3 linked regions of the Canis lupus familiaris genome follow. The protein of the gene in region 1 interacts with the protein of each later gene in a biochemical or structural test. Links are inferred from orthologs where the notes say so. Each region holds a gene or a part of one and is shown in the gene's direction. Other genes may lie near its edges.

What was found.
Region 2: the proteins of HSPG2 (region 1) and FBLN2 form a complex in vitro, tested with the Homo sapiens proteins (2 studies listed by BioGRID). The link is inferred for Canis lupus familiaris from reciprocal best matches to the Homo sapiens genes HSPG2 and FBLN2.
Region 3: the proteins of HSPG2 (region 1) and KDR form a complex in vitro, tested with the Homo sapiens proteins (2 studies listed by IntAct). The link is inferred for Canis lupus familiaris from reciprocal best matches to the Homo sapiens genes HSPG2 and KDR.

Annotation. Positions count from the first base shown.
Region 1 is NC_049223.1:76,736,381-76,740,025, forward strand, and holds part of HSPG2 (basement membrane-specific heparan sulfate proteoglycan core protein), read left to right. Parts: coding exon 1-121; intron 122-218; coding exon 219-370; intron 371-1,132; coding exon 1,133-1,268; intron 1,269-1,422; coding exon 1,423-1,574; intron 1,575-2,003; coding exon 2,004-2,142; intron 2,143-2,244; coding exon 2,245-2,396; intron 2,397-2,994; coding exon 2,995-3,130; intron 3,131-3,247; coding exon 3,248-3,399; intron 3,400-3,604; coding exon 3,605-3,645. UniProt on the Homo sapiens protein: Integral component of basement membranes. Component of the glomerular basement membrane (GBM), responsible for the fixed negative electrostatic membrane charge, and which provides a barrier which is both size- and charge-selective.
Region 2 is NC_049241.1:3,866,534-3,870,631, forward strand, and holds the start of FBLN2 (fibulin-2), read left to right. Parts: upstream 1-1,174; 5' UTR 1,175-1,418; intron 1,419-4,098. UniProt on the Homo sapiens protein: Its binding to fibronectin and some other ligands is calcium dependent. May act as an adapter that mediates the interaction between FBN1 and ELN.
Region 3 is NC_049234.1:48,227,379-48,231,023, reverse strand, and holds part of KDR (vascular endothelial growth factor receptor 2 precursor), read left to right. Parts: coding exon 1-87; intron 88-942; coding exon 943-1,284; intron 1,285-3,408; coding exon 3,409-3,555; intron 3,556-3,645. UniProt on the Homo sapiens protein: Tyrosine-protein kinase that acts as a cell-surface receptor for VEGFA, VEGFC and VEGFD. Plays an essential role in the regulation of angiogenesis, vascular development, vascular permeability, and embryonic hematopoiesis.

The DNA of each region.
Region 1 (3,645 bases):
CTGTACATCTTCCAGGCCTCGCCAGCCGACGCAGGCGAGTATGTTTGCCGGGCCAGCAACGGGATGGAGGGCTCCATCACAGTCACAGTAACCAGGACCCAGGGGGCCAACTTCGCCTACCGTGAGTGGGGCCAGCAGGTTGGGCTGGGACGGAAGGCAGGGCCAGGCGGGAACAGCTGTAGAGAACTGGAGTGACCGGTGACCGTCTTTTCCCCCAGCTCCGGGTAGCTCCCAGCCCATCCGCATCGAGTCCTCCTCCTCCCACGTGGCCGAAGGACAGACCCTGGACCTGAACTGCGTGGTGCCCGGCCAGGCCCACGCCCAGGTCACGTGGCACAAGCGCGGGGGCAGCCTTCCCGCCCGACACCAGGTACAGGCCTAGAAGATGGGCAGGCCAAGAAGGAGACAGGAGGGAGGCCCTGGGTGGTGGAGGTCAAGGATGGGAAGGACTGGAAGCTCCTCGGAGTCAGGGAAGCCTTGGACCCCATTGTCCAAGGGTGTCCAGGTGTCTAGCACCATGGTTAGAACCCAGACTCTAGGGCTGGCCAACCTAGGTGTGAATGCTATTTCCCCCACTTACTAGCTTGTGACCTTAAGCGAGTTGCTTAGCCTTCCTGTGCCATTGCTTCAACATCTGTAAAATGGTATCTGTCTTATATAATTGTTTTAAGGGTGAAGTGAGTTAACATCCCTGCAAAGTGCTCAGAGCTCTGGCACGTAGAAATTGCCCAACTGTTATTACCGTACTGTTAGCTGTTATTAATATTACTGTGTTTTAAAGAGTTGAGGATGCTATCGATTGCAAGGTGTGCTATTATTCTTTGTACCTCTAAGGAAGAAAAGCTGCCATTTGTAACTGTAAAATTATTCCCCATAAGACAAATTATTCACCGTAAGACACATCTTGATTTCAGAGACATTAAAAAGTGTCTTAGAAGCAACAGAAAGTGGAATTAATGTTTGCCCAGTTCTCCATGGCTCCTCCTGGCCACCTCCTACTCTTGGGACAAGTCTCTCCCTAAGCAAGACAGTGGATGGCCAGGCCCCAAGGGTCAGAGTGAGGCAGGGCTGTAGGTTACAGGTGTAGGGGCCTCGTGAGGGCCCCCTCTGAGCTCACCTCCATTCTGGCCAGACCCACGGCTCACTGCTGAGACTACACCAGGTGTCCCCAGTTGACTCGGGCGAGTATGTGTGCCGCGTGGTGGGTGGCTCGGTGCCCCTGGAGGCCTCTGTCCTGGTGACCATTGAGCCTGCAGGCTCTGTACCCGGTAAGCAGTCCTGGGGGTAGGGCAGGGTTAGGGGCCCAGCCGTGGGAGATACTGGCAGGACCCCACGAGACCAGTAGCCCTTACATTCACACACACACCCACCCCCCACCCTCCCCTCCTAGCCAGGGACTCACCCTCTGCCCTCTGTCCCCAGCGTTGGGGGTCACCCCCCCTGTCCGGATCGAATCATCGTCCTCCCACGTGGCGGAAGGGCAGACTCTGGATCTGAACTGCCTGGTTGCTGGGCAGGCCCACGCCCAGGTCACGTGGCACAAACGCGGGGGCAGCCTCCCCGCCCGGCACCAGGTAGGAAGCAAGAGAGCTAGGGGGGAGCCTGAAGGACCCTCGTGACTACAGAGTAGGGCATCCAGGCTTTGAATTCAGGCGTACCTGAGTTCAGACACTGTTCTGCCCTGTGCCTGCTGTGTGGCTCTACGCCAGTCACTCGACTTCCCCGATCCTCAGTGCCCTCCTCCGTCAAGTGGGCTCCCACTGCCTACCTCACCTGCCCCATAGCACGTCAACAACTGTTGGCCGCCCACTCCTTTTCACTGGGCCCAGTCCCACACTGGAGCAGGGGAATTGACTGGCCATGAATGCTGGTCTTTCCAGCAAGAGCGCCTCGCAAGGCCAGCTGGCTGGACTGGGCTGGGAGCAGGGCCAGGGGAGGGAGCAGGAGCCTGGCCCGGAGCCCTGGTGCCTGACCCTGAGCCAGGCTCCCTCCTGCCCACCCAGGTGCACGGCTCCAGGCTGCGCCTGCCCCAGGTGACCCCCTCCGACTCTGGGGAGTACGTGTGTCGCGTGGTGAGCAGCTCGGGGACGCAAGAAGCCTCCGTCCTGGTCAGCATCCAGCAGCGCCATGGCCCCTCCCACCGTGAGTATCTGGGGGGGCGGTCCTGACAAGCAGTGGGGGGACCTCGAGGGTGGCTCCAACCTCAGCAGCTCCCACACCCTGTCTCCTGTCTCGGCCTCCCAGCCCAGGGTGTGGTGTACCCCGTCCGCATCGAGTCCTCCTCGGCCTCCCTGGCCAATGGACATGTCCTGGACCTCAACTGCCTGGTGGCCAGCCAAGCCCCGCACACCATCACCTGGTACAAGCGTGGAGGCAGCCTTCCCAGCCGGCACCAGGTATGGAGGCACTGGGTGTGGGTGCAAAAACTGGGCACACGGGTTCTAACGGGATTCAGGAGCGGCTCTCAACCCCTTCCCTGTGCTCATTCAGCCATTCAGCAAACATTGAGCGTTCTTACTTGATGGGCACTACTGACCTCAGTGGAGCCCATATTTTACCAGAACATTCTATGATTTACTCACTCACTGAATGTCCCTGAGAATCTGCTCCAGGCCGAATGCGTGTGCCTGGCACTAAGGATTCCAGGTAGAATGAGACAGGTGCCCGCCCTCCGGGAGCTCACAGGCTAGCGGATGGGGCAGACATGTCCTGTGACAGCAGTGTAATAGAAGTCAGAGCAGGGCACTCGAGTCACCAGGGATGGCCTCCGCAGGCTCTAGGGCCAGGTAACAGGTGAGAACAGGACAGAGGCTACAGAGGCCTGTCCGTGCCAGCTGGGCCGTGGGGAGGCCACCGAGGGGTTCTGAAGGACGTCTTGGTGGCGGCCAGCCCCGACAAGGCAGGGGAGGCTCCGGGAGGCTCCTGGAGGCCAGGGCGGCGGCACCTGAGATGTGGAGGTGCTGCCCCCACCCACCGACACTTGCTCTCCCTCAGATCGTGGGCTCCCGACTCCGGATCCCCCAGGTGACGCCGGCCGACTCGGGTGAATATGTGTGTCACGTCAGTAACGGTGGCGGCTCCCAGGAGACCTCACTCATTGTTACCATCGAGGGCAGTGGCCCCTCCCACGGTGAGAGGGCACAGGGCAGGGGGTCCAGGCAGGTGATGCAGGGGGAGGCGGACAGGGCCCTGGTGCCATCACTGCTGCCTGACTCCGGCTGTGGGGCCCGTCCTTCTCTGTCTCCAGTGCCCAGCGTCTCCCCCCCCATCCGGATCGAGTCCTCGTCCCCCACGGTGGTCGAAGGGCAGACCCTGGATCTGAACTGTGTGGTGGCTGGGCAGCCCCAGGCCACCATCACGTGGTACAAGCGTGGCGGCAGCCTTCCCACCCAACACCAGGTACAGACTGGAGCCGTGGCCGTGAGGGCAGAGCCCCTGCCCCCGGGGCGGGCACTGCAGGGACAGCCTCCATGGGCAGAGAACGGGAAGTGAAGTCCTCCCTCCCACCCTGGGTGGGCAGAGGGCGGCCTGGAAGGAGGCCTGGGCCGGCTGGTGACTTCCTGGCCGCTCACCCCTGTCCCCCTTCTTCCCCATCTGCCCCCAGGCCCACGGCTCCCGCCTGCGGCTGCACCACATGTCTGTGGC
Region 2 (4,098 bases), on another chromosome or scaffold:
TGGGAGCCAAACCACTGTAGGGCCTCGCTGGCCAGGCTGCTGGGCGTGAGCTTTACTCTGAGGCCCCCGGGAGTCACAGGAGGGCTTAAAGGCGGGGAGTCACATGGCCGGACCGTGCTTTAGAAATCAGTATTTCCAAGAAGAAAACAGTGTTTTCGGGACAAAAGGAAGATGCAGAGATTTCGTAAAACGGGAGAGGCGGGTGGCTGACAGGCAGACGTCAAGATGCTCATCCCTGTTAGCGGCAAGGGGCCTGTGCATTCAACCCTCCCCGAGATGCCATTTCACACCCACTGCCCCGGCAGACGTTAACAAATGCTCTCGAGGAGGTGCAGCCCTCAGCAGCCGCTGGCAGCCTTGGTACAAGCCTCGCAGCCACAGCCTGGCCTGAGCTGGGGAGCTTGAACGCGTGCACACCCAGTGACTCAGCACTCCCCCTCCTAGACGAAAACAAATGTCACGGGAAGCCGGGTACGGAGAGACAGAGACGTACAGCGACACCCTTTGTAACAGGAAAGAAAACCCAGGAAGCAGCCAAAAGGGCCCGAGACCAGCCGGTCAGCACGCGCTCGCCGACGCCGACGGAGTACCACGCGGCCCTGCCCAGAGGTGGAGGCGGCGGCAGGCTCCCCCCGCAGACAGGGTGTTGCAGCGCGTCTGCCTACGACAGGTTCAAAAACAGCCCGAACTCAGTAACGATTGGGGATGCGTCAACCGGGGAGGCCTTGCAGCTGGGGAGGGGCGCAGGAGAGCATGTCTAGGTCTGGTAGTCTGTCTTTCAGAGTCCCCGGTTCCGGGGTTTTCACATGAAGCAGAGTCAGACTCTGGGCTCGTATCGCATTCTCTCAGGCTGGTTAGCATTTTTGCAATGGGCGTAACCTGCTTGTTTGATTATTAGTCACCAACCGCAGGCGACGACTTTCCTATCGGACCCACGTTGCTTCCACGGTGGCGCAGTCCCTGGCCTTGGGGACCCAGCCAGGTGTGAGCCCATGACGTGTGTGATTCAGGAATCTCTGGGTTTTCATTGGCTGGATGGCCGGGGTCTCCCTTGGCTGAGAGCCAAACACTGATGAGCTTGACCAAGTCCCCTCGTGACTGTTGGGGATTTTACAGGGAACATGTTTCTAAAATATGTGCTATTATCTGACAGTGTCTGAATCGAATACAGACAAAATCAACTCTAAGTCCAAGGCTGGAAAATCACCCACCCTGTCGGGGCCATTCACAGATTCCTCTCCAGCTTCTGGCAGCAGCCCCGGGTTTCCATGTAGAAGTTCATCCTACCCCTCAGACTTTTAGGAGAGAGCAGGGAACGCGGGCTGACCCAATCGGCACAGCCCATTCCTCTCAGCTGCAGTGACTGGCTTAGGCCTGGGCACCTGACTTAAGCTCCTCCAATCTGAGAGAACTTTAAGGTGAGTGGACTAGCGCTTCATTTTGTCTGGACTTAAAGAATTGTACGCTGGGGGCAGCCGGGTGGCTCAGTGGTTGAACGTCTGGCTTCAGCTCAGGTCGTGATCCTGGGGTCCTGGGATCGAGTTTTGCATTGGGCTCCCTGTAGGGAGTCTGCCTTTCCTCTGTCTGTGTCTCTGCCTCTCTGTGTGTGTGTCTCATGAATAAATAAACAAAATCTTAAAAAAGAAAAAAGAGTTGTAGGCTGGAGCTCCTGGGAGGTTGGCTCACTAGAAGAGAGTTTTTGGCAGAAAATGGAGGGAGAGGTAGAGTCCCTACCTCTCGTAGGGAGATCTGAGGGACAAGGGGAAAGAAACCTGGAGACATTTGAGCACCTGGATCCAGCTATGCCTGAAGTCCATCCCTCTACTCTTTTATGGAATTCAGTATCTCTGTTTTTGGGCTTTAGTCTGTTTGAGTCAAGGGTACTGTGACTTGCAGCATAGAGTCCAGACCAGCATCCTCCTCCAGCTAATCAGTGGCACCTCCTGAGCCAGTAGCTTGTGGTGGGAGGTCATCCCTGCCCCTCCCTGTCCTGGCCCCCAACGCCACGTCCTTTTCAGGCCCTCCCCAGTTGCAAGGCCTTGTCAAGATTATAAACCTCAGATTGTTATTTGGTCCGGGCTGTTTTTGAACCCGGTGCAAACAAACATACTGTAAATGCTCCTTTTGGCATTGGGGAGACACCCGTGGGAGCACACAGTCTCTCCCCTTGGTATCTCTCCAATCCTACTGCTTCCCTGTGCCTCCACACCCATCTGAACCCCATCATCTCCAACCCAGGTTCTACCACCCGTGTCCTCCGGGTGGGGGGCTCCCTTAAAACCCTCCAGTGGGGGCAGCCTGGGTGGCTCAGTGGTTGAGCATCTGCCTTTGGCTCAGGGTGTGATCCCTGGTCCTGGGATCGAGTCCTGCATTGGGCTCCCTGCAGGCAGCCTGCTTCTCCCTCTGCCTATGTCTCTGCCTCTCTCTGTGTCTGTCATGAATAAATAAAATTTTAAAAAGAAAAACAACCCTCCAGTGGCTCCCCTTGCTCTCAGAATACACACCAAACTCATCCCTGCAGCCCACGGCCTGCCACATCCTGCCCCACAGCCCTTCTTTCGGAGGGCTCCTCAGCTTCCACTCCCCGCCCAGGAGCGTGGTCCTCGAGCACTTACTGTGTGCCTGGCCCTGCAGAAGTCCTGCCCACCTACCTCTGAACTCACGGGACCCCTCGTGGAACCTGATGAGTTAGGCACCATATCCCCATTTGTAGAGAAGGAAACGAGGCTGAGAGAGGCTGGAGCCTCCCCCAGGCATCGTGCAACTAGGAGCCAGCCCTTGGGGGCCAGGTTCTGTGAACTGACCACCACCCCACACACCCTGCCCTGCACGGCCTCCTCAGGGTGCTTCTTGCTGTTTGTTGGTGAGGACGTTGAACTCCTGTCTCCTGCAAGAGTGCCACTCCTTGAGGGCAAGGGGCTATCTGCCCTCCAGCTGGACCCCCATGCCTGGCACCAAGTGGGTGTGCAGGGAAGATTTGCTGACTGAATAATAATATTAGCCCGTGCTCACTGAGCACTCACCACGTGTAAGCCACTTCTGAAGCACTTTCCATATATTAGCGGACTTAGTCCCCACGATAGCTCGATAGCTCGCGGTGGTTGGAGGTTATTTTATAGCTGGGAACACCGAGACAGGGAGGGAAGGTTCCCAGATCCCACAGCTAGTAAGTGACGGAACTGGGATTCAAACCCAGGGATCATGGCCCCAGAATATGTACTTGTAACCACACTATCCCTGCATGGGGTGGGGATAGGGGGTCAAAGGGTAGACAGAGGACAGAGCCTGATGGGCGGGAGTGGGGGTCAGGCTGAGCAGAGATCAAGGACTTAGAGCCAAGACTGGGCTCATACCCCAAGTGTCACAGGAGGCCAGGCCTGGACAGATGGAGATGCAGGATTAAGACACACCTCACCGGGGACCTTCTCTGCTTCCTGGGGTTGGAGCCAGCTGGCTGGTGTGCTGCGGAGTGTGAGTCCCCTGCCAGCTGCCTTATCTGGGCCTCAGTAAGGAGGATGGAAGGAAGAAGAGGCCTGGTGGGTTCCAGAGAGAACTGCATAGGCTGGAAAAGAGACAAGAGGGTGGCTCAGTGTAGATCCTCAGGACAGATGGGCTGGCCTCCTCACAGGTTCCTGAGCCCAGTGGGGTTAGCACGAAGGCCAGGAGCTCTGCATGTTCAGCTGGGAAGTGGACAGACCCTGGAGTCAGTGCATGTTGCCACTTTAATAAGTCACCCCTACCTTGGGTCAAGTCTAAATGTTGGAACGTGGAAGGTGAACCATCTCTCTGAGCTGTGCAGACCACCCCCAGGTCCTGTGCTCAGCTGCTGGCCCAGCTCTAGGAGAGGGGGACAGGCTGAGTTGGCCACAGTATAGCAGAGGAGCTGGGGCAGCTCAGCATGGAGAGTAGCAGCCTTGGGGGGGCTCTGACTGAGGAAAAGCAGACAAGTCTGGAGCTCCAGAGGGCACACCTGGAAGGGAAGAAGGGAGTCATCTCTTGGTGTGCTGGAGACTTTTATGTCAACACCTAAAGTTGCCTGCCCTCCTATCCCATAGCTGAGTTTCCAGCTCCTTCCTCTGGGTTCAGCTGGGGCGAGGT
Region 3 (3,645 bases), on another chromosome or scaffold:
AAGCAGCCAATGTGTCAGCTTTGTACAAATGCGAAGCCGTCAATAAAGTTGGGAGAGGAGAGAGGGTCATCTCCTTCCACGTGATCAGTGAGTATTGCTCTCCCTTTGGGGGGGGGGGGGTTAGATCTCTTGCCAAGGGGGCACTAGGCTGTCTGATGCTCTGTGGCCCTTGCCATTCCGGAGTGGCATGGTGTTTCGGAAGAGGACTTGGGCTGATTGGGGATGCTTTGGTTCATAAATGAAGACTCCTCAGCTAGCTGTTGGGTGCGTGGGAAGTCGGTAGAACTGACTCTCCCATTCCCTCAGGGGAGAGGATGGTTTTGCATATTTTTTTAGCCACAAATCCTGCATCACGGTTATGGCTCCACCATCCTAGTCTAGCACAGCGCTTGGCTTCTTGGGGTTCCATCAGTATTGGTGGGCTTGCTGCTGAGCTGTTGACAGTGTTGGGTTTTCCGGAGGCAATTGCAATGACACAGAGGCAGTTTCTGCCCAGTGCTGCTGATTCTGATTGTGCATCTTAATTTTATGGTTAAGCTTTAGCTGACCGGACTAGGTGGTCAAGAGTTCAGTGCGGGCTAATTTGTTGTCATAAATATAGCTTCAGTGTCATTGAGTGTGATGTGTCAATGAGGAACTAATTTTTAAAGTTCCTTGGTATAATTATCTGCTTTCAATATGTTTTGGATTTTTTTTAATCTCTAAAGCTGTGTTTTGAGCCCAAAGTAGAGACTTGATACGTATCTGAGGAATGCATCTTGGTAAAATAATACATTTTGGAGCCCGAACTGTCTAGTTTGGTAGTCTCCTTGTATTCCTTTGCTGGGATTGCTAGGGCTTCACTTCTCTTGGTGCTTTACAGCAGTCTGAAGGCAACAGGAAGACAATAGTGTGCTGCCCAAATTAAATCACCATTTTCTAACCGTAGGTTTTATATTTCAGGGGGCCCTGAAATCACTTTGCAACCGGACACCCAGCCAACCGAGCAGGAGAGCGTGTCTTTGTGGTGCACTGCAGACAGAACTACGTTTGAGAACCTCACGTGGTACAAGTCTGGCCCACAGGCTCTGGCAGTCCATGCGGGAGAGGTGCCCACACCTGTTTGCAAGAACTTGGATGCTCTTTGGAGAATGAATGCCACCACGTTCTCTAATGGCACAAGTGACATTTTGATCCTGGAGCTCCAGAATGTGTCCTTGCAGGACCAAGGAGACTATGTGTGCTTCGCTCAGGACAGGAAGACCAAGAAAAGACATTGTGTGGTCAGACAGCTCACAGTTTTAGGTAAGGAGGCAATTTTGGTCATCAAAGACAGTTGGAAAGCCTTCAATGTGGTACTTTTAGGGACTGTAAGATCACTGTCCTATAGGAGCATAGGAAGTAGACTGGTGCACACTTGCCTTATTCACCGAATGTTCTGGAGGCAGAAAGAGGCCAATAGTGGTGAAGTGATGTATTAAAAAGAGAAAATAACATGTTCCTTTCTAGCTCTAATGATAGGACTTCACTATTATCTACAAGAGATTAGCTTAAACTGGGGAAATTCCTGCTTTATCCTTGGCATTTGTTTATTTTAGTAGACACGTATTCATGGAATGCCTACTATGAGCTAAGAAGGTTCCAGAAGTTCACAATGGTAAGTAGGTAGACAAGATGAAAACACAGGCAACCACGGGGCAGCCATGGCACATTGTGGTCTTTGTGTCCATGAGGATGGGATTTGTTTTCTCTTCCTCCTTGCTGTAGCTCGCATCACAGAACATAGTGGCACATAGTAGGTGCTCAGGAAGGCATCTGCTGCATGAAGAGTTATTTAGGACCTGGGAGAGCCCGTGGGAGGGGTGCTGCACTCACAGCTTGCACCTCTGGGTCATCCCATGTAGTCCAACGTAGGGATCAATGGGATGATCATTTTAATGAGCTGATAGCTTTGTAAAATGCCCCAGGGAGCCACTCTCCACACCTCATCTAAACCCGTGTCCTGCACAGGAGCTGTGCAGCCATGCCTCTGTCTCTGGGGAAATGAGACAGATCTGGAAAGTTCTCTTTGTGTCCACTCTCTCCATTTTCTCCCCTCATGAGTGTCCCTTCCCAGTTTCTGGGATGCATGTGTTCTCTGATTTTACTCTTAAGAAGGGCAACAAACTGCCCAGGTGAATGAATCTATACCAAAGTTTTAGAGGAATAATATCTTCTTCAGAGGCCTTGGCAAGTTTAAGAGGTATCTTCAGACAGACCCTAGGATAGTATTTGCTGGTGTTAAGACTTAGGTGTCAAAAGAAGGAATATTTTAGGGTGAAGTCATTGCCAGGGCCCTTCATATCATATCACATACATGGCCATGTGTTTTCTGTTCACCTTGGTGACTGTCTGGTTTCAAATTAGTGGAAGAATTCAGAGAGAGATGTGAAGGGGCCATGCCCAGGAAATTTGTGCTCACAATGAGCTGCTTTGCTTTTCTAAGAGCTCCTAAGTTGTTTTCCTAAAATTATTCTTAGAAACAGACCAGAGCCCAGGATATTTGTTAAGCCCTAATGTAGTTCACCAATGAGGTAATCTCGTTTTGCTAAATATTGAAGTGGATTCTTTCAGCAAGATTCCATTTGATTGCTGTGGACAAAATATTTCTATATTTTGAAAGTTTTGCTATACATTGAAAGAAATACTCGTGGGCTTAATTTTCTTGAGATCTTTGACTTTCTTTAGGGATTTCTGTGTTGCTCTTTTGTGTTTTAGTGGGAATGGCACTGGACTAGGCTTTCAGTCTCACCAGTTTCTATTATTAGGTCAAATGCTTACTTAGTTATAAGGACTTGGATGAATCATTTACCCACCCCCCCTGCCCCATGAACTGCAGTTCTTTCCTCTGTGAAATAAGGTTAATATTCTTGTCCATTCCAGGGTTGAAAGTGAGCAACAGAGATAGTATAACTGAGTTTTGTAAAAAAAAAAAAAAAAAAAAAAAAAAAGCCAAATAAATATAAGGTATTCTTTGTTGAATTACATTGAAGTTTCGCACTTTCCAAGAGAAACATGGCAAACTTCAAGGGTGTCACTAGCTGGAACTTTCGTGGGAGGGAAAGTTTCCCCTTGGGGGAAGCCGTGTCTAATTAGGAAAAACCCATAAAGGTGACAACCTTCATTTTGTGATGTGACAATCAACTAGAGTCACTAATAGGAATGTTCATAGAGGAGCAGTGACTTATCTCAACTGTCCTGACCTGTTTCATTTGACTTTACCTGGTGACCAATGGTATTGTCATCAACCTCTGTGTATTTGCAGCTTAGGAAATCAGTGGCTTACTGTTTACTAAGTTTAAACTATTTATCAGTTAACTGATGCTAAAACCATTTCAAAAGTTATAACTGAATGTTGTGTGATTTTTGTGTGTGTGTGTGTCTGCATAGAGCGCGTGGCGCCCATGATCACCGGAAACCTGGAGAATCAGACTACAAGTATTGGTGAAACCATTGAAGTTTCATGCACCACATCTGGGAATCCCCCTCCACAGATTACCTGGTTTAAAGATAACGAGACACTTGTGGAAGACTCAGGTGAATAGAATATGTCTATCTCTCATTGGTTGCAGAACTCTCCCGGAGACATGATCTAAATCCTACTTTATTTCTTGATTTGTTCTAGGT